Oryzias latipes: one gene and its partners. The protein of the gene in region 1 purifies or fractionates together with the protein of each later gene. This does not show direct contact. Links are inferred from orthologs where the notes say so. Each region holds a gene or a part of one and is shown in the gene's direction. Other genes may lie near its edges.

Region 1 (5,415 bases):
AATGAATTAATATAAATAAATTTATATATTTTAAAAAAAAGACAAATCCTTCAATTGCAATGCCTTTTGGTTTATATTCGCCAGTCCATTTAGCATCGATGTCCAATAGTTTTTCTCAGAGACTTCTGGGAAAATTCCAAGGCACTGGATTTTGAACTTATAGAATATGACCAACACCCTATAGTTAGTGAGTAGTGAGGGAATTCGGACACGACCTGAGAGTGTTAAACCTTAATATGAAAATGTTTCTTCATTTAGACTGCATCAGGCTTGGGATTGACAGCAAACATGCCCATTTTTACCGCAATATTGCCTGAATAAAATCACCCCCCTGCAGAGATTTACTCATCTTTCCAAAATCATCTGCACATTGATGTTCAGCTTATTTTGTTCCACTGTACAGGACAGAACATTTCCAGAAATGTCACTAAAGGAGCATGTTCTCATGTTCTCAGTCTGCAGTGTTATCGCAGCTCAGTTGCCAGGCGACAGGTGTCCCTATTGTCAGTCTTTGTTGAGTTTAAACGGACACACTCTTTCATTATTAAGGAGACACACTTTGGCTTGTTGACGTTTGAAGTTCATCCTCTCATCAAACCAAGAGGGAAAAAGGAAGGTTTAAGAAATTCTCAATGAGTCATCCTTTTTTCTGACTGGCTGTACAGTGTGTGTGCTTCTTGTGTTTGTGTGTGTTTTGGTGTTTAACTCTCTTGGCTACGTGTTATGAATCAGCGCTGTTGCCTCAGTTGCTGTTTTTATTAATGGGCTTTTGAGAATGCCCAAGAGGAGCTACAGTAGTGAGCAAACACTATCAGGTGATGTCATGAAGTGCCATGTACACACAAAAATATACATATTCTGTAAATATGTGCTTAAACTATATACTCATGAATTCATTTTTGACTTGAAATGAAGTTTTCAAGAAGGACTATGTGGGAGGATCTGATACAAGTGGTGCTGGAGACATACTGTCCATCACATGGCCTTCTGAAATGTTCTTTTTTCTTCCCTCCTCTCATCGTCTTCTCACCATCCGTCACTCTCGCTTTCATTTGGCACTCAATTTTTCCCTCTCGCTCCATCACTGTCGAGGCTCTGGGTGCAGATGTCCTGTTTCCTTTTCATTGCTGCTCCTTCGCAATCGGTTATGAAATGTCTCACTTGACATTTGAAGGATGCGAGGAGTGGCATGGAAAAGGGAAACATTAAACAAGTGGCTTTGCTGGGAGAGATGAGGGCTGACTGGAGGAATAAATGGATTTGTGAATGCTCGAGGGTCTGGCAGGTGATGGTGAGAGAAAGGAAACTCACATTCCACTTACACTCCTCTCATTCTTCCCACCATGATTTTATTCCCTAACCAGATCTATTTTCTGCCGTCATTCGCCTTTTCCTGGCAGCTGGAAGCATTTTGACCAAGTCTGCATTTGGGTGTCTTTAACAAGTTTGATAATAAATCCGCATTGCGTCATGCCTCAAGAGATGCATGCAAAGGATAAACACTGGTCTTTCCGGTGTTTTGTCTTATGTTACTTTATGGGGCAGAAGTCGCAACTTTTCATTCTGTGCACAATTTATGGATTTTTTTTAATGCATAATACATCAGAAATAACTTTTATATTGCATCACTAGTGCTAAAGACATGTTTCTCAGCCTGCTATGACTGCTAAAAATGTAACTTAATGCCAGCGATGTGTATAAGTACATGTAACTTAAGCCCTGTGATTAAACTCACCAGAATAACATAGCTGACCGTTCGTCTGCAAACTGTTGGACACAAGTGATGGCACTCTTTCACGCAAAACAAAATAGCAACCTGGTACTCGAACCCAGAAATCTGCTGCCTTTTAGCGAGTAAAAATATTCACGACAGGGAAAACAGACAGAAAAATGCTCACATATTGTGGATGGTGGTTGTTTATATGAGGGGGTAAAGCGTGGCCCCAGAGTCACACCAGGGCCAGAAGAGCTATGTGTTTGTGAAACAACAGAAACTGTGGAAGATAGAGGGGGAGAGAAAATACGGAAAGAAAAAAATTAAAGAACTGTCCAGGCCTCATGGACACTTTTGGGAGACGGAGATAAAGACTTAAATCAAAGCTAGAGTCGGGTCAGAATGCCGTATTCAGGGAAGAGATTCATTTCAAGAACCGAATTCCTTTATTTGATCAAGTTTTATCACTTTTATCAGGACAGGACTTGAAGAAACAAGTTTGGAAACCTGTAAAAGTAACAGTAAAAAGTAAAAGTTAAAAACAGTAAAAAAAAAAATAGGAAAAAAAAAAACTGTTATCCATCCAAATGTGCAACACAATGAATATCAAGGATGAACAAAAACCCATCTGATATCTTTGCGTAAACAACATCTGCAGTTGTACAACAAGTGATCCAACTGTGTATTTTTTTATGTGTGCGTACATCTGCATTGTGAATATAACTTTTGTTGCAGTTACACAACAAACCTCTTAGATTCTCATAAAAGATCAGCATGGAGTTGATAAACACAAACTAGACGAAATACAAACACAAAAGGGCACAATCTAGCTTTCAATGACTCTGTTTGTGTCATTTGACACAGAAAAAGTGTGTGACTACAGCCCACTGTCTCTTTTTCCTCTGCATATCCATAGAACAAAAGCTTAAGAGGAGTTAATGCAGACATCAGTGCTAAATACAATTAGAGGAAAATGCTTTTTGCTTCATTTAAATCAGTAATGAATGGAAAGTGTTTACATTGCTACAAAAGAAGTGATGTTTTATCAAATTTCTTTGTCCTTAAAATATGTTTGTTGATTCTAGTAATATTAAGTAGAATCAACTGATGTTTTTTGGACCCAGAGTTTTAGCAGCCATTATTTAAAAAGTCTCTTTTTCTGTTTTTGTTTCTTAGAACTCCATCCGGCACAACCTCTCCCTCCACAGTCGGTTCATTCGCGTCCAAAACGAAGGGACAGGAAAGAGTTCCTGGTGGATGATCAATCCGGAAGGAGGAAAAGGCGGCAAGGCTCCAAGACGTCGGGCTGTTTCCATGGACAACAGCAACAAGTACACCAAGTCCGCCCGTGGTCGTGCTGCTAAGAAAAAGGCTGCACTGCAGGCTGCTGCTGCCGCAGCAGGTGAAGGTGGTGGAGACAGTCCTTCAGGTCTTTCCAGGTGGCCTGGGAGTCCAACATCCCACAGCACAGAGGAGCTTGATGGTGGATGGACAGATTTCCGCTCTCGCACCAACTCCAATGCCAGCACTGTTAGTGGCCACCTCTCACCCATTATGGCCAACCCTGAACTTGACGAAGTACCCGATGATGAGGCTCCTCTCTCCCCCATGATCTACTCCAGTCCTGGCAGGGCGCTGTCTCCTGGAAATGCCATATCCAACGGGAAAGCAGCCCCTGCTGAGCTGCCCCGCCTAGCGGACCTGACAGGTACGATGAACTTGAATGATGGAATCACAGATGAACTGATGGACGATTTGCTTGACAACATCAAGTTGGTACCACCTTCCTCCAGCCAGAACCTCCAAAATGGCTCTTCAGGCTTCACTTTTGGGTCCAAATCCAATGGAATAAGCTTAACTTCCTCCACATCCTCTCCATCGTCCAACTCTTCATCTAATGGTGGAAGTAATGGTTACAGTAACTCCATCTTTGGCTCCCAAGCAATAGGTTCCTCTCTGCGCTCCTCCCCAATGCAAACCATCCAGGAGAACAAGCAAACATCTTTCTCCAGCATCAGCATGTCTGGTTTTGGCAGCCAAACACTACAAGACCTGCTTAACTCTGGTAGTCACAACCATAGTGATGTGATGATGACCCAGTCTGACCCTTTGATGTCGCAAGCCAGCTCAGCTGCTGTCAATTCCCAAAACTCCCGCCGTGGTCTGATCCTCCGTAACGATCCTGTGATGACCTTTGGGACCAGTGGAGGTATTCAAGCCAGCCAGAGGGACGTGCTACAAACTAACAACCAAAACCAGAGCTCCATGAGGTCAAGAAATGGAGGTCTGAACCTCGTCAACGAGGCTAATACTCTGGCTAATGCTAAACAGCAGCTCCTGCTCTCACCATTAGGAGGAAATGGTTCGTCCACCATGCAGATCGACCCCTCCATCTTTCTTAACGGCACCGTCAGCAGCAGCGGAGGAGTTTCTCAGGATCGCTTCCCCACCGATCTGGACCTGGACATATTCAACGGCAGCCTGGAGTGTGACATGGACTCCATCATCAGAAACGACCTGATGGATGCAGATGGCCTGGATTTTAACTTTGACTCTCTGGTAAACATGAACGGAGTAAGCAACTTCACGAGCACCAAGCAGAGCTCTCAGAGCTGGGTACCTGGCTGAGAATGGAGCAGCAGATTTGGTATGATGTAAGTGATTTTGTAGCCATGTTGTTGTCTGAGGGCATATTTATAATATTTACATTTAGTCACACTTTTTGGCATCACAGATGTAAAGTTTCTGCATTGAAAAGTTTATCAAAGTAGTTGTTTCCAGCTCAGAAAAATAATTGTGTTTCCGAACATGGTGTGATTATTAAGACTTATTTTTTTACGTATTTCTCCAGGTTTCACCTGTTTGTTCCGTGAGAAGATCAGACACACAGCATCCTTTTGCCAAACCTGCCATCAGCACAATGTAAAATACAAACCCTGTGTTTACAGAAGAAGACTTCCTCTCACGAGCTTTACCTTCGCTCCCGTACTGGTCAGTCATAAACGATCCGACAGACTCTAGAGATGCTGCACGATCCCTCAAAACCTCTTTTGAAACAACATCACAAAGCTACATGAAACAATCACAAAAAATCCACAAGAACATGCAACTTTCCTTTGGCATTGATGTAAAATAAAATCTGCAGTAGAAGTGGTCAAACATGGACTTCAAGGAGCAGAGACAGAAACTGTTTTTTTCAGCTGAAGGTGAAAAGGCGACAAAAGTCAAGAAGTGATATTGTGTACATCTAATCCACCTGGAGTGTGTTAATGATGAAAACGACAAAAAAATCCTTCTGTTGTTTGTGATTTTATATGTTCAGTGTTTGCTTTTTTGGGTTTTCTGTTATAATGTGTTTCTGGATCATACCTGTCTGTACAAAAATATTGCGTTTTGGTGAAATGAAGAGACGGGACAGGAGGGTTTTACTCGGCGTACAAATCTTGCATAAACAAAAGCAGACAATACTGACACTTTGCAAACCTCAAAGAAGTTAAAATTCCTCATTTTATGCCATGCACTTACTGTTTTCTCTTTGTATATTGCTTGAATTTAAATTACCAGCAGCATACAGAGGCTTTATTACAAATAACCGAATATTGCGACACATGATCTGTACATTAAAGTGTACAAAAAGAAGGAGAATAATAGATGTTATCTTTTTTTTTGCTTGAGTTATGTTGGGGTCATTTTATCTTACC
Region 2 (4,627 bases), on another chromosome or scaffold:
CCAACACATACACATTCCTCTTCCACTACAGTGGGTCCAGACGATCCCGACTCCAATGCCTTCTTAAAATGAGAAGATTGTAATTGTGCTGCTCCTTCGTGAAAATAAATTTAATATTACAAAAAGAGCTCCGCTTTTGACAACACTGTTGTTGACATCCATTGTTAACGTTTGCTCCGCAAACAAGTGACGTCGTTCACCGTTGAGTATTCTTCTGGCTTCTGCGCATGCGGGTCTCGTTTGGGTCGTGTCACGGTCACACTGGAGATCACAAAAGTTCGGATTTACTTGGAAATGTGAACGGTCTAGCAAACAAATCAGATTTTTTCAAAAAATCCGAATTGAGCATTAAGCCCTGCAGTGTGAACGTAGCCAATACCATCCAGTTTCAGGTCTGACTCCTCCCCCGTGAGCACTCATAAACCAACCTGCAGCCTTTCATCTTCGGAGCCGGCCTGGAGAAGGGGTTCGCTCTCGTGAGGGGGCGTGTCTTCTTCACACCCACATGTGTTTGTTCAGCTGCAGCGTATTTCAAAATAAAGCCAGTGTCTCTGCACTTTTCAGAGAACCTTGTGTTCTTTTAGGATTTCTGCTGAACAGTTTTCGTTTCCTTTTTGATGTCAGATCATCAGCTTTGGATCATTGGTCTGGTTTAGAACCGAACCCGCTGTGAGGATCCGTTGCAAACGTTTTCTGTTTTTGTTGACGTGTTCCAGGAGATCTTCCCCGGGCAGTTCCAGCCGTCTCCCTGCCACAGATTTATCGCTATGCTGGACAAGCAGGAGAAGCTGCTGCGCAATTACACACAAAACATCGACACGCTGGAACAAGTGGCTGGAGTGCAGAAAATCATCCAGTGTCACGGTGAGCCGCCGGCCGCCTCGTCTTCTGGACATTTGTGTTCTGGAGACGATCCACGAATCCCGTCTTTCTTTCAGGATCGTTTGCGACGGCTTCCTGTCTCGTTTGTAAACACAAAGTGGATTGTGAGGCTATAAGGGAGGACATTTTTAATCAGGTATGTCTCAAACATCATTTAACTTCCTGTATGAATACTTGGTGGAGATCGCTCCGATCAGCTTCTGATCTATTGTGAATCGTTCCCAGTGGTCCTTTCATTTAGATTCTTTGCCAAAATCAAAAAACCTGTCATTTTCCAGGACATAGTTTCTGCAGAGTGGCTGCAGTTCATCAGAAGTCTTCTTTCACGTCCCTACCGTTCTCATGCTGTCCTCTCCTACGTCCTCTTTACTGAACAACAACGCCGTAGGCGCACCGCACCACAGTGGAGAAAATGTACGACTTTGTTGTGGAAATTCAGTTCTTAGAAATGCAGATTGATCTTAATTTTCTTTATAAATGTCCTCCATCATGAGAAAACTCCACAAGAAGATGTTAGAAACACCCAAACCACCGTTTTTACTGGAGTGTGTCTTTAAAATAAGAAGCAGGGGTTTGAAACGACCAACGGCTCCATGAGATTCTTTGGGGCCATGAAAAGACTTGCTGGAGACCCGGTTCTGCAGACGTTCTCCATGTTCTGTTGGGTTTCTGAGACGGGCAGCTTCCCTGTTCTGTGACCTTCCTCCTAACTCTGTTTGGTCCGGTCTGTCGTGTGTAAATGAACCGCAGTCTGAAGCGGATCTATGGACTCCGGTTCTGTCAGACACGGTCCTTTGAACAGAACTAACGTGCCGACCCCTTCCAGGTTGTTCCTCGGTGTCCGCGCTGTTCGGACATTCCTCTGGCCATCATGAAACCGGACATTGTGTTTTTTGGAGAGAACCTCCCAGAGATGTTCCACAGAGCTATGAAGCAGGACAAAGATGAGGTGGACCTCCTGATCGTCATCGGATCTTCCCTGAAAGTCCGACCCGTGGCCCTCATCCCAAGTACGTCTGGACCGGACTAACAGGTGACACCCCTCCTGGGGGTTTGGCGTGACCCCTTCTGTCTTGTCTGCTGCAGATTCCATTCCTCATGAAGTGCCTCAGGTTCTGATCAACCGGGAGCCGCTGCCTCACCTGAACTTCGACGTAGAGTTGCTCGGGGACTGTGACGGCATCGTCAACGAGCTTTGTCATCGATTGGGTGGAGACTTTGAGCCGCTTTGCTTTAACTCTTTAAGACTGGCTGAGATCACAGAGAAGCCCCCCCGGTTACCCGAAAGGCCTCCAAACGAAACCTCCAGCGATGCCGAGCCGAACGCCCGTCCTACCGACACCGCAGACCAACCTTCAGAGGAGGCGGAGAGCCCGCAGGACACGGACGCCGCTCAGAGAAACGCCACGCCCCCGGAGCCACGCCCTGAAAAGGAGGCGGCAGAGTCTCCAGAACGACCGGTGGAGGACACGCCCACGGAGGAGGCAGACGCGTTCAAGAGCCAAGTCTCAACGCTGGAAGTACGGAAACGATGTTGGATGAGTCGGATCAACAGAAGTCCGATCAGCAAACGGCTGGAAGGTGAGCCCGACGCCTCCACGAGAAAAACGCTCCCCAGTTGGACGCCATCTTTACTGAAGCAAACGTCCTTTCTCTCTACGTCACGTTGTCGTCCTAACGGACCCTCTGCTGTTCTCCACAGCGGGCCAGTACCTCTTTCAAGCACCGAACCGGTACATTTTCCACGGAGCCGAGGTCTACTCCGACTCTGACGACGAGACGTCCAGCTCCTGTGGGAGCGACAGCGAGGACTCGGAGGGCAGCGTGGATGGCGTGGAGGACGACAGCGATGCAGAGGAGGACGGAGCAGAAGCGGCGGCAGAGGAAGAGGAGTGCCTCAGAGACACATTACCACACAGTCCAGCCAATGAGACGGCAGACGTGCAGATAAACAGAAGCTCTGAACAGACTGAAGGCTTCGCACAGATTTAGGTGGAAACAGTTCTGGTTTAACAAAGCACTAATCGTCTTTATATGTTTCATATATAGTTATTTTTCATAAATGGAGACGCGGAGCCGTTTTTCCCTCATGTTTGCATGGACACATCCCTTTTTCTCCATCGGCATTTCCATCTGCAGCTCATCGATCGGCGGCGCCTTCGCTTTGGGCGGAGCCACCATCATGCCTGGTGTATACGTGGAAGATCAGGGCCGTCCTGAAAGACGAAGAGACTCCACAGAAATGCTTCATTTCAGACCAAAGAGCTTCTGTTTTCCTCAGCTTTACATGTTTGTTCTGTCGTTTAAGTCTGGGTGAAACCATGTACATACTTCTGAGATGTTGTTTCCTGACATGTGGCAGCTACTTTTACAGTCAAGCCTCTTATTTTTATACTCCAGTGTGAGACGCGCTCCTCAAAGGGTAGATGATCATTTCAATCTGGGAACTCCAACCAGAGAATCGTCACTTTGGAGGTGTTCAGTTTGGATAGAAATCCTTTTTTTTTAAGTCCCGTTTTCTTGCTCTGTCACTTTTCATAAAGGACTCGGATGCCTGTGAACGCGTCATGTGTGGATTTATTGAAGCGTGTTTTTTTCCACAGCAGTCTCTGTCTCTGGGAACGGCTCTAGAGAGCAGACTGACGGTTACTGGAGAAGAAATGACTGTTTTGGTTGAAATCTTCCTGCTTTAGCTGCTGCTGAGGAGCTTCATCAACCACTAGAGCCTCCCTGGGGAGTTTGACGAGACCCTTCAGTGTTTAGTGTCCAGTGTTCAGGTGGGTGACCATGAGACGGCTTTTTGAGTGCTGGATTTGGTGAGGAACCGTTCTTTGGACTGAAGACCGAGAAGCTTTTTCCAGGTTTTGCTGGAAATGGTTTTCCTCCATAAAGCAAATCATTTTTGCCTTTAAATCTTTATTTCCACTGATCTGGACCTTCAAGACGCTCTGCAGTCGCAGTTCCTGCTCTAGTTTTGGGATTTCCAGGCATTTGTGTCCTGAACACCTCTCTTACCTTCTGATGTGCTCCTCTCTGGGGGGTATTCCAGAGAGCAGGTTATGCTAGCTCCCGGGGTAAGTTTGAGGCTAAGGAAGTGTACAACCACCGCTTTTGGTTCCAAAAACAGTGATGTTTCAGGGTAGGTCAAGTTGCCATGGCAACTCATGCTCTGAACATAACCTGGTCTGGAACAGGTTTAGTTGAAAGTTAGTTTGTTTTCAGAGAGGTGAAGCAGCATGGCGTGTCCATTTGAAGATGATTTAGTGGATGAAGAAACTCAGATAATACTTTTTCCACCATGAGAGGGTGATAAGACCACGTATGGATGTTGGAAAAATAAACTTTTTACTTTGATCTAACTTAATTATTTGCTTCAGTTAAGATAAATCAATTATTTTTAGTTAATTCAGCTTAAAAATAACACGTAGTTTTCAGTTATTTTACTTTCATTTAAAGTAATTCAATCAAGTAGGTGTAACTTTGGTGCTGCTGTTAGATTGGCACCGCAAGGGATTCTGGGATATCATTCCCTTTGCCTGTCTGGACGGATTTGGGTCTAAGTGTGGGTTTTTGACCAAATGTGTTTAGTTGTTTAGCTGTTTTACTGTTTTTTACCGAGTTTTTTGTACCGTTATATTTAATTAGTTCTGCAACTTGAGGGAGAGGGAGGGAGAGGAGGATGAGTTTATATAGCACTGAGCAATGAGTATTGATAAATTCAGAGATTATTTATTTATATATGCAA
Region 3 (5,415 bases), on another chromosome or scaffold:
GACAATTGGCTGTTGAGAGCAGTGACTGTTGGTGTTGGAAAAAAAAACAACTCCAACAACTGCTGACCAGCTGCAGCTGAACTGCATGAACCCAGAAAATTTTGTGCAACAATTTAAAAAAGAGAGAAGTGCATGATGTGTATTTTGGTTCCTCTCTTCTTGTTTAGTTGTTCAAACTTCTAAGTAATTTTCATCAAAATGAACTCTGTAATTCAGTAATTGATTACTGGCCTGGATTGATTTTTAGGACTGATTTCTATGATTTTTCTTTTACAAATTAAACAATGTTTTTGTGTTTAAAAAAATCAAATCAGGGAAGTGAGTTTTTGCTGACACAGACAGGAAATGATTTTGGTTTCAGGCTTTCAGTGTGTCACCTGTTTTTATCCAACATGACTTGCATGTACCACTTAGAAGCCCTCGTTCTCGTTTTCTGACACTTGCTAACCTGGTTAATGCAGGAGCCCAATATTAAAATTTGTGTTACTTTTTCAGTTGTCATCCAGGTACAAAATAAACCTCAATCAGGTCTCTGAGATGAAGATGTGTCTAAAAAGATGTGGGCACTTTATCCTTGTTTGTGTTCTAGCGGTTTTTGGTCTGTTTCAGAAACGCCACCACCAGGTTACCTCAGCGAGGATGGGGAGACCAGTGATCACCAGATGACCCACAGCATGGACACAAGCTCCCCAAATCTGTCCCCTAACCCTGTTTCACCCACACACAGTAATTTAGGTAACTGTGTGAATGTGTTGACGTGTGTTTTCCTTTTCCACCTGTCTGTCTTTACTTACGTGGAAAATCTTTCAGGAGTGTTCCTCCCCAGTGGGAATTCTCTTGTTTGGTTTAGCATCGTTTTTGTTAGAGGAAACTAGGTAATGAATGAAACCTTTGTCTTCCCGCTCACCATCTGAGCTGTTAAACAGGCCAAGACACCACTTAACCCACACTAACACTAATAACAAGATCCTGCGCTTATTCTGTTAAAATGGGAAAATTCCAAAGAGACTTTTCTGACGAAGTAACAAAAAGTCTCCGGTTTCAAAAACACGAGTTCTCCTCTGGACTTCAAAGGCAAGATGGAGAAGTCATTAAAGATTGTTCCATGCTGCGGAGAAAATGACCAGAACCAGTTGAACTTAGTGAAAACAGCCACAGATTAGCGTTTCATTCAGCTATTTGGTTTTCTGGCATCCCATCAGTGACTGACTTCCCTCCTTTTGTCTGCTGAAGGTTTCGGGTAAACATGGGTGTAACATTTTGTGACACATCCTCTATTTTCGGTTCTTTTTTCTCCGTATTTTGCTAGTTTTACCTCTTCTTTGTAGTAATTTCTTTTCAGTTTTCCTTCCTTCATTCACATGTGTGTGTGATGCACACGTGGTTTATTATTAACATATAATTTGCCTGTCATTCAGATGTCTTTTACATTTTGAATGTTAATCCCTACAGTAGTCAGTTTTCTTTAGCCTTTCTTCTGTTCTGCTTTGATGTAAACCAACTGTACGTATGTCTCTCCCACTAAGACCTTCAGCCAGTGACATACTGTGAGCCGGCTTTTTGGTGCTCTATTTCTTACTACGAACTAAACCAACGAGTTGGAGAAACCTTCCACGCCTCACAGCCCTCCCTGACAGTGGACGGATTCACAGACCCCTCCAACTCTGAGCGCTTTTGCCTTGGTTTACTGTCCAACGTCAACCGCAACGCGGCGGTGGAGTTAACGCGCAGACACATTGGTAAGGCCCCATACCCAGACCAGAGGTTTTTATTTATTTTCTCAAATTTGATCAAACTCTCACGTCTGTGCTGCTGCTGATGTCATCGTGGCGTGGCTTTCCTCTCACACTTCTGTTGTTTCCCTGTTTGTCTCCAAGGCCGGGGCGTGCGGCTGTACTACATCGGAGGAGAAGTGTTTGCGGAGTGTCTCAGTGATAGCGCTATATTTGTTCAGAGCCCCAACTGTAATCAGCGTTATGGTTGGCACCCCGCCACAGTCTGCAAGATCCCTCCAGGTTTGTGACTTGAAGGCAGAAACTAAGGGGAAAGGGAGCATAAGGAAGCGTTAGGAAAGTTTAAAGAAGTTTGTACCTCTCTCATCCGCAGTCATACACTTCCTTTAAAGTTCCACTCCAACTATATTGTTTTCAATTGTAACATCCTTCTCAGTGGTCTTTTAATTATGATTAGGAAGTTTTTTATCTCAAATCAAAAAGCCTGTGTCTCTTTTAAGACATTTCTTGCAGAGCAGGAGTAGCTCATTTGAAATTTGCTTTTGGGTTGTGGGCAGGACTAATTTCCCAGCATGCCGTTGTTTACACTCTCTTCCGTTAGTGACAAGCTAACATTAGTGTAGCAAATAAAAAAAGGTGAGTAATATTGGAGCTATGGAGCCATACAGTTTTGAGGCAGATGGCAGCTCAGACGAGGAAATGAAAATGTACTTGCATCTATTTGTCTACAAGTGGATGATTTAGAATTGGAGTGGAGAAAATAAGATTCCGATCCGGTTTTCATCTGCTCCTGATCCAACTCGATTTTAAATAAGAATATATTCAGCAACTCAGTTTCAATCTTAAATTCTTTTATACAGGTCATCCATTAAGAGAAAAATGTGACAAGGTTTTGTTAAAAACACCAAGGACACGATTTTCATTGGAGTGACTCGTTAAGCAAATAATGATAAACAGATGGACGTAATAAATGGTCACTGTAACCCCCCAAAAAGTTCAGCAAAATATGCATAATTCAGTATAAAATAACAGTACAGAAATGTGGGCGCCTCCCTCGCGCTTACATCTTGCTGGAGTAGTAATAATATGTTTGAAAACGTGTTGGTGACTGGAGGCAAAAAAGAAAACACTTTTAGATGGAAGGAGAACTATGACTAAGAGTGATGATTAATGCTTTGGCTTGTTCGATACATCTCTGTGGCTTAGGGTGACGTAATGTGAGCACGAATCACTGACCAGACCGTGTTCTTTAATACATAAGACTGTTTATGATTAGAATAGACTGTATAACTCGGTCAACACCAAAGAAGGAATGTTGTCTCATTCAGAACAGTAGCAGCAAAGATTGGTCCTTGTTGTAGCATTTATGGTGGTTAGGTCTGTGCCTGAATGATTACTATATTTTTTTGGACAATAAGGCGCTCCAGAGTATAAGTTGCAGCAGCGAACAAATGCATTATAAAGAAAAAAATTATATACAGGTCGCACTGGAGTATAAGTCGGACTTTTAGAAGAAAGATGCGACACTTCTGAACAAATCCGCTAAGCCCAGTGTAATGCTGCGTTCACACCAAACGCGATTCACGCCTCAAATTTGCGTCTGCTGCCTCAAATTCATTACCTCAATGCTTGTCCAAAAATGTGTTCATAAACTAGATGCTCTGGTCATGTGTGGGAGGAGCCACCATCCAGTGTTTAGCCTCATTTACGTTTAAACAAAATCACATACAAGTCGCACTCCTGTCAAAAGTTTGGGGAAAAAACAAAACAACTTTTACTCCGAAAAATACAGTTTGTCGGTTCTGTTTGTGCCTGAATTGAGATAAATATTCAACACAATAATAAGAGGAGTGAAAGTTATGAAAAAACTCACATACCTGCCTCCTAAAACAGTCATCCTGAAAGTTTTTTTTTTTATACATTTACGATGAAACTTGGAATGCTGGGAGTTTTTCTAAATTTTGAATAATTACGGTAAAGTTGATTGTGTAATCTGGATGATTTGGAACATATGTGCTCTAGTTGTGTCATCACAACTGTGCCTGGAGGAGCCCACATCACTTACCGCACCACTACACTGAGGCCGGTTTCTCTTGTTAACATCCACTGTGGGGGGAAAATACACATCTTTTTCCCTTTGCACAGTGGTCTGTTTGTTTTATTGGTTGATTTGTTTTTGGGTTTTTTAAGTTTAGAAACCACAATTCTATCTACTGTCATATGATCAAAAGCTTCAGAAGTGAGAGGGAGTTTTGTTTATGATAGAAATGCTCCTTGTGTTTCCTCCAGGATGTAACCTGAAGATCTTCAACAACCAGGAGTTTGCCGCCCTCCTGGCTCAGTCCGTCAACCAGGGCTTTGAGGCTGTGTATCAGCTTACCAGGATGTGCACGATCCGCATGAGCTTCGTCAAGGGCTGGGGAGCCGAATACAGGTGGGATGCAGGACAGCCGTTCACCTTTTTGCAATTTCAGCATTAAACGGTGCTGATGAGCAAAGACGAGGCCCTTGAGAGAACAGTTGAGTAAACACAGACAAGATACTGCCGCCCTCGCTCACGGGCACCTTCTCACACTCTGGTGAATCCAGCGGCTGACGTCAGGGAAGTCTCCTCAGTAGACAAGCCGCGCTTGTCGAAACAGACTATTTTTAAACACACATGCTTTGTGTCAAAAAGATGTCAGACTTTCCCTCTTCTGGCGCTCTGTTTTCCACACAGTCTGACTCTTCGCACCGTCTGACTCACTGATAGTACGAGAGGAGGAAATGTAATTAAAGAGAAGCGAAGGATCGGCCCGAAAGTTGGGCCTGTGAGAGATTTCCACAAGGGAGAGTTTTGTGCTGCAAGCGGCTGCTCTTCATTCCTGTCCAGACCAGACGCTGACATGTGGAGACACTTAAAAAACAGGATTCAGGTTACGTGATCAGACAGGCCTCTTTCCACTCCACCTCCACCTACCTTTCTCTGTTTTCACTACAGATCTGCTTTAACTCCTTTGTCCCTCCACGTTTTTGTCATTCAGTTTAAAAACTGCTTCACATGAATGAATACTTTAAAGGAGCCGACATTGGGAAGCATTTGTGTTGTATCCGGTGAGCTGCTGTCCAGTTGATTCCAAAACTTCTGCATCCTTTAGCTTGATGAGACTTTTAACACAGAGCCAGCAGTTTAATCCCTTTGTTCAAATTTTTTTTATTTCTGCCTTAAAAATGTGAAACATCTGGATCCAAACCCTGAATCATCAAAGTTCAATCCCACTGTTCTCGTTATCAGCTCCAGTCTGTCCTGTCCATTCTGAGGTCAGAGAGAACAAAAGAATCGTAAAGATTCAAGAAGGAGAAAGTTTAGAAAAAGAAGCATATCAAATATAAACAGCTATACAGCAAAAAATGTAAAAGACATGAAGATCAGTCCACTTTGAATGTAGCACATTTGACAAAAGACGCTTCAAGATCAAGCTTCAAATCGTATTTTTTGTCTTTCTGCCTTATTGGTCAAAGTACGGCCTCATTTAAAGTCCCACTCCAATCCTCTTTGATCTATTGTAAAAGTATCCCCACTGCTCTTTTAATGAGGATTTTCAGTCAAAAAAAACAAATAAAACATTAGTTCATTAGAAATTTACCTCTGAATTGAGGGCAACCCCATTGGTGCAAAGTAAGCCCGCCCCTATTTCCCGTC
Region 4 (4,922 bases), on another chromosome or scaffold:
TAGGTTTTGAGATTCTGATGAACATGAAAGACTTCAGTACTACAGATGTTCAGTCTGCCACACAGTTTTCATTAGCTTCAACCCCAGAAGCGCCTCTTTGTGTGTGATGATTGTTTGCCGGTGTGAGAGCACTCTGCTTGTGTTTTCATCAGGTTTGACGAGTCTCTGTGGCAGAGCGTGGATCTGCAGGGTCTGACCAACATGGGTCCAGCTCTGCAGCAGGTGCTGAGGACCGGAGTCCGCCGCCTGCGCTGCCCGCGCGCCTTCGTCGAGGAGCAGCAGTTTGCAGGAACAGAGTGAGCTTTGCAGATGGTTGGACCTAGGCCTGCACAATAAATGGCAAATTTATTGCTTGCTATTATCATCGCAACATGGATCACTGATACTGCAAATTGCACGTTTTCCTCATATCATGCAGCCCCAGTTGGACCACAACCATCTGGTCCAGTTTTTTTTTTTTTTTTTGCAGACCTGTTTTCCAAGCACTATCCTCACTTTTTAGATGCTCAAGCTGAGCGATTAGACACGAAGACACACCAGTGAGCCACAGACGCCTTCCTTCACTGCAGGACCTTTTCTCTTTTTGTCCAGACCTCTGCAGCTGCTGGACATGGACCTGTCCAGTTCCATCATCCCCATTTCAGCTCTTGAGAGCATCACCTGCCGCTGTCTCCGCCTGGAGCGATTGAGCCTGGAGGGTCTGCAGCTCTCAGACAACATCATCAGGTGAACAAATGGTTGTAGTTTGGTTTATATCCACCATGCTTCAGAGTCGAGCTTCTCTTCAAGGCCTCCGGGTGCTACTTTGCCGTTCACGGTTGGTTTGGTCATCAGACTCATGTCAAACTCTTTGTTGCAGGAGTCTTGGGAACAACGTCGGCCTGCAGCAGCTGAACCTGAGCGGCTGCTCCGGCTTCTCTGCTTCTGTTCTGGCTGACATGCTCAAGTCCTGCTGCAGGTCAGTGAACGCCTCTAAAAAAACGCACAAAACTTAAAAATAAAGTAAACTAATTCATGTATGTGATGAGTTGATTTTGCATGCTATATTAGTGTTGTCATTGTGTCCTCGTGGGTTTTGTTTTGCAGGATAGAGCAGCTAAACATTTCATGGTGCGGCTTCAACAAGGACCACGTGAAAAGTGTTGTTAGTAATGTCAGCCCCAGAGTCGTCAGCCTGAACATCAGCGGGTACAGAGAGAGCCTCACGTTAGACGGTAAGCCGTGGAAACCTGATTCCATAGGAAGGGGACTCCTCCATCAGTTCTACATCAGAAGTGCCTTCGAGGAGAAATTCGACTGACGGTTGATCACACTGGTTTTTACAACAGCAAAGCTGTTTGAGGCTTTGTTTGCTTAACCAACCAATCCAGAGGATGGAAACAGAAATCAGACAACACAAGCTGTTATAGCTTAGTCACAACTGCCCTCACGGGTCTATATGGAGCATGTGGGGGGGCCCGCACATAACGTCAAGGTTGTAGATCACCCAGTGAGCCCATAGCCCATCTTCAAATCCTCCAGTCTGCACATAAAGCCTGTTAGTGCTGTTCAAATGATTAATGCTGTTATAGTTTAGTGTTTTCCTTTTTAATCGGATCTGATTTCCACAAAGTCTGTAATCAGGACCCCTGTTAGTAAAGTTCTTTCTTTATTTTTACATTTAAACTCAAGGTGATAATGCATACAGGGGGAAATGGAAGTGTGACCAAACTCTATGCATTACATTTTTTTAGTTTTATTTTCAATTTTCTTTTCCTGCAATGCCAAGTGTGATAGTTTCTGGGAATAATCATGAAATCTTTTTGCTGTCACTGATGGGAATGGCGTGCGTGTTTTACAGATGTAAAGATCCTGGTTGACAGATGTCCTGAAGTTCAACACCTGGATTTGAGGTACCGTCCCGCTCCAGCCCAGAGAAACAGAAACACCAGATGCGTTCATTCAGAACTGCTCTTCATTAAAGTCCCACTCCGATCATCTATTGTAAAAGGGTTCCCAGTTGTCTTTTAAGTACGCTTATGCTGTTTTTAGCAACAATCAAAAGCCTGTGTGGTTCTCTAGGACACAGAGCAGTTATATAGAAATCCACCTCTGAGTTGTGGATGGATTTGTTGGTGCTTAATTATCTTTATATATCTCCATCATGAGAAAAATCCCACAAAAACATTTTAAAAACACAGTTTTTAATTGGAGTGGGTCTTTAAGTAAAGGGTTCTCCTCAGATGAACTGGATTCCTAAGTTCTGTCTCTATCAGAATTTCACTAAGTCTTTGTGTTTCAGTGACAGCACCCTGCTGATGGCTGACAGCTTCCTGGTTCTCAAACAGCTGAAGGATCTGCAGCACCTGTCCCTGAGTCGCTGCTATCACATTCACCTGGCTGCTCTCACGTAAGTCCTCACCTGGAGCTGCAGGGTGGATCTTCAGCGTCCTCCGTCCTAATGAATCATTGCAATGAGAGAGGATTGGACCACAATGGACCATGCTCATTAAACATGAACCAGGATATTCAGTTGGTCCTTCTTTTCAGTCACCTGTAGGTGGTAAAATTAAGTCTTTTTTAAAATTTGATTGGGATTAAATGTAATCGTCACAGTAAGCCGTAAGGCTGTAGCTTTGTCTCTTTACAGTTCAGTAACCCCTGACTCATCATTCTTTAGATGCATATAGGATCATGTGCTCTGTTCTTTGTTTAAATATAAGCTCTTTGCAGAAAAAGGGTGGAAATGTGTAAATGCTGATTGTTGGCTGAAAAGTGAAAATCTGGTTGGTTTGAACAAATTGAAGTTCTGCAGACTCAACTTTCTGTGTTCTTCCTGCAGGGATCTGGGACAGACGCTGCCCTCTCTGCGCCTGCTGGACGTCTTCGGCCTCGTGCAGGACAACCAGCTGCCGTCTCTGAAGAAGGAGATGCCTCACGTCAGCATCAACTCCATGCCTTTCTCTAGTGTGGCTCGCCCTACGCCCGCCAGCAAACTCCCGGGGTCCCACGGCGACCGCAGCATGTGGAACAGGAAGTGCCGCCTCAGCTTCCAGCTCTGACCGCGGACTCAGTCCTGTTTTGTTTTTTTAAAGGGACAGTTTGAGCTGCAGAGCAGGATCTACATGTCAGTTCTAGACGAGGCTTTAATCTCTCTGGTACCAATGACCCATCAGTCCTCGATGCTATGTTGGCAAACTCAAAGAGAATTGTGTCATTTAGAAAACATTTGAAGGTTTAGCCACGTGTAGTAAGTTTGAAAGCATTTTAAATCTGTTGAATGTTCTAATAATGTTAGAACTTTTAAAAGGACGACACTCGGATCAAGGCATGACCGGAAAATGCTTTTGTTCTTTGCTGCTGTTTGAAAGGAATCGGTGAGCGGTTTTCCTTTTGCTGTCAAATGTCTGGCTTTAGTTGGTGCTGAAAGCAGTGTTATGTCATTGTTGGATGATGGGAGGAGCCTTGTTTGTGGTTCCAATTCCCTAAGGCTGTTATTTTTTTTTTATGCCTCTGTTCTAAGTCAGCATTTAATGATCCTTTTTAATGGATTTTACCTTCAGCGATTGTTGGTTATCTGTTCTCATGTGTTTGCTTTTAGAGTCTGAAGCACAGGAACCGAACAGCCAATGATGCTGCAGGAGGATTTCACAAAGGTTATATTTTTGTAGTAATCAGACTGATATCTCTAATGCTCATTCATGATGACTCAAAGGTTTGGAATGCAAATGAACTACCCATTAAAATCCCTTTTCTTACCCTTTCTTGTCTTTTATGTCACCTAAAGCATTTTTAAAGACGTCCTTTGAATCAAATCGCTGCTTGGTTAAAACTCTTAACTGCACGTTATATCCGAAAAACATTCCTTCTTGATAAGGAAGGTGGTCCTCTGAGGGCACTAGTTTTACAAAATATAGTTTTGTCCTCACTTTTCTTATTTTTGTGCTCTAGGTTCTTTAGTACTCCACATTATTTTTGATTCAAAAGAAGTGGAAAAATTCAATGGAATTGATTTTTGTCTCCTCTTAATTTGAAAATGCTTTGCTTTCCGAGTTGGTCAGGCATCACATCATTTTGTGTCAAAATAAAAAACAAGCTAAAAAATCCTTGTGTATAGCGAAAACTAAAAACCAGCTTAGGGATGAGGGAAGAACCATCCACCCCCCCCCCCCCCCCCCCCCCCCCCCCATTTGGAGCCTCCTGGAGGAGGGAAGGAGGTTGTCACTTAAGATTTTACAGTACATGGCTCCGCCCATCCTCCCATCTACACAATGAAGTAGTCTTTTGCAGAAAAACACCCCAAAGCATAATGCTTCCACCTCCATGCTTGACAGTGGGGATGGTGTTCTTGGGGTCATCAGCAGCATTTCTCTTCCTCCAAACACGACAGGCGTGCACATGTACCTTCTTAAGCAGGGCAACTGTGCCAGCTCTGAAAGATGTTATTCCAAAGGGTTTTCTGTGTGACTGTGGTTCCAGTTGCTTTGAGATCATCAACTAACTCCTGCCTTGTTGTTTTAGGCCGATTACTGGTCATGTTGCACCAACAGTTGTCCCCTTAACCCTCCAGCTTCCTACTGATGGTTTTGTAGTTTATTCCGGTCTTTTGCAGGTCTACAATCTTCTCCTTTAAATCCACCAAAAGCTCTTTAGTCTTTCCATGTTGGACAGTTTGGATTCTGACTGACTGATGGAGCATCAAAGAAATTAAAACCGGATAACTGCTGGTGTTGACGGACTGATTCTGTGGACAGGTGTCTTTTTTACAGGTAATAAGTTTAGATGTCTGCATCCAAGTGGCAGGTTGGTTATGAGAGTCTAACTGGTCTATGTGAGCCAGAGCGCTTAATGTAGTGCAAGTGGTTCAAATAATTCTGTCCTTCAATGAAATGCAAATAATTTTATATAAATTCTTTGAAGTGGATTTCTTGATTTTCCATCTT

The links. Proteins that work in one complex are often made in the same cells at the same time.
Region 2: the proteins of foxo3 (region 1) and sirt1 purify together in Homo sapiens (affinity purification with western blotting; 4 studies listed by BioGRID and IntAct, with this or other methods). This does not show direct contact. The link is inferred for Oryzias latipes from reciprocal best matches to the Homo sapiens genes FOXO3 and SIRT1.
Region 3: the proteins of foxo3 (region 1) and mothers against decapentaplegic homolog 3 purify together in Homo sapiens (affinity purification with western blotting; 3 studies listed by BioGRID and IntAct, with this or other methods). This does not show direct contact. The link is inferred for Oryzias latipes from reciprocal best matches to the Homo sapiens genes FOXO3 and SMAD3.
Region 4: the proteins of foxo3 (region 1) and skp2 purify together in Homo sapiens (affinity purification with western blotting; 3 studies listed by BioGRID). This does not show direct contact. The link is inferred for Oryzias latipes from reciprocal best matches to the Homo sapiens genes FOXO3 and SKP2.

The regions. Positions count from the first base shown.
Region 1 is NC_019882.2:7,571,823-7,577,237, forward strand, and holds the end of foxo3 (forkhead box protein O3), read left to right. Parts: intron 1-2,890; coding exon 2,891-4,342; downstream 4,343-5,415. UniProt on the Homo sapiens protein: Transcriptional activator that recognizes and binds to the DNA sequence 5'-[AG]TAAA[TC]A-3' and regulates different processes, such as apoptosis and autophagy.
Region 2 is NC_019873.2:29,796,672-29,801,298, forward strand, and holds the end of sirt1 (NAD-dependent protein deacetylase sirtuin-1), read left to right. Parts: intron 1-716; coding exon 717-864; intron 865-938; coding exon 939-1,018; intron 1,019-1,708; coding exon 1,709-1,892; intron 1,893-1,968; coding exon 1,969-2,463; intron 2,464-2,584; coding exon 2,585-2,874; 3' UTR 2,875-3,443; downstream 3,444-4,627. UniProt on the Homo sapiens protein: NAD-dependent protein deacetylase that links transcriptional regulation directly to intracellular energetics and participates in the coordination of several separated cellular functions such as cell cycle, response to DNA damage, metabolism, apoptosis and autophagy.
Region 3 is NC_019861.2:12,627,986-12,633,400, reverse strand, and holds part of mothers against decapentaplegic homolog 3, read left to right. Parts: intron 1-609; coding exon 610-735; intron 736-1,526; coding exon 1,527-1,739; intron 1,740-1,877; coding exon 1,878-2,015; intron 2,016-4,022; coding exon 4,023-4,167; intron 4,168-5,415. UniProt on the Homo sapiens protein: Receptor-regulated SMAD (R-SMAD) that is an intracellular signal transducer and transcriptional modulator activated by TGF-beta (transforming growth factor) and activin type 1 receptor kinases.
Region 4 is NC_019870.2:24,271,612-24,276,533, reverse strand, and holds the end of skp2 (S-phase kinase-associated protein 2), read left to right. Parts: intron 1-152; coding exon 153-296; intron 297-591; coding exon 592-726; intron 727-859; coding exon 860-958; intron 959-1,086; coding exon 1,087-1,214; intron 1,215-1,840; coding exon 1,841-1,892; intron 1,893-2,281; coding exon 2,282-2,389; intron 2,390-2,821; coding exon 2,822-3,041; 3' UTR 3,042-3,738; downstream 3,739-4,922. UniProt on the Homo sapiens protein: Substrate recognition component of a SCF (SKP1-CUL1-F-box protein) E3 ubiquitin-protein ligase complex which mediates the ubiquitination and subsequent proteasomal degradation of target proteins involved in cell cycle progression, signal transduction and transcription.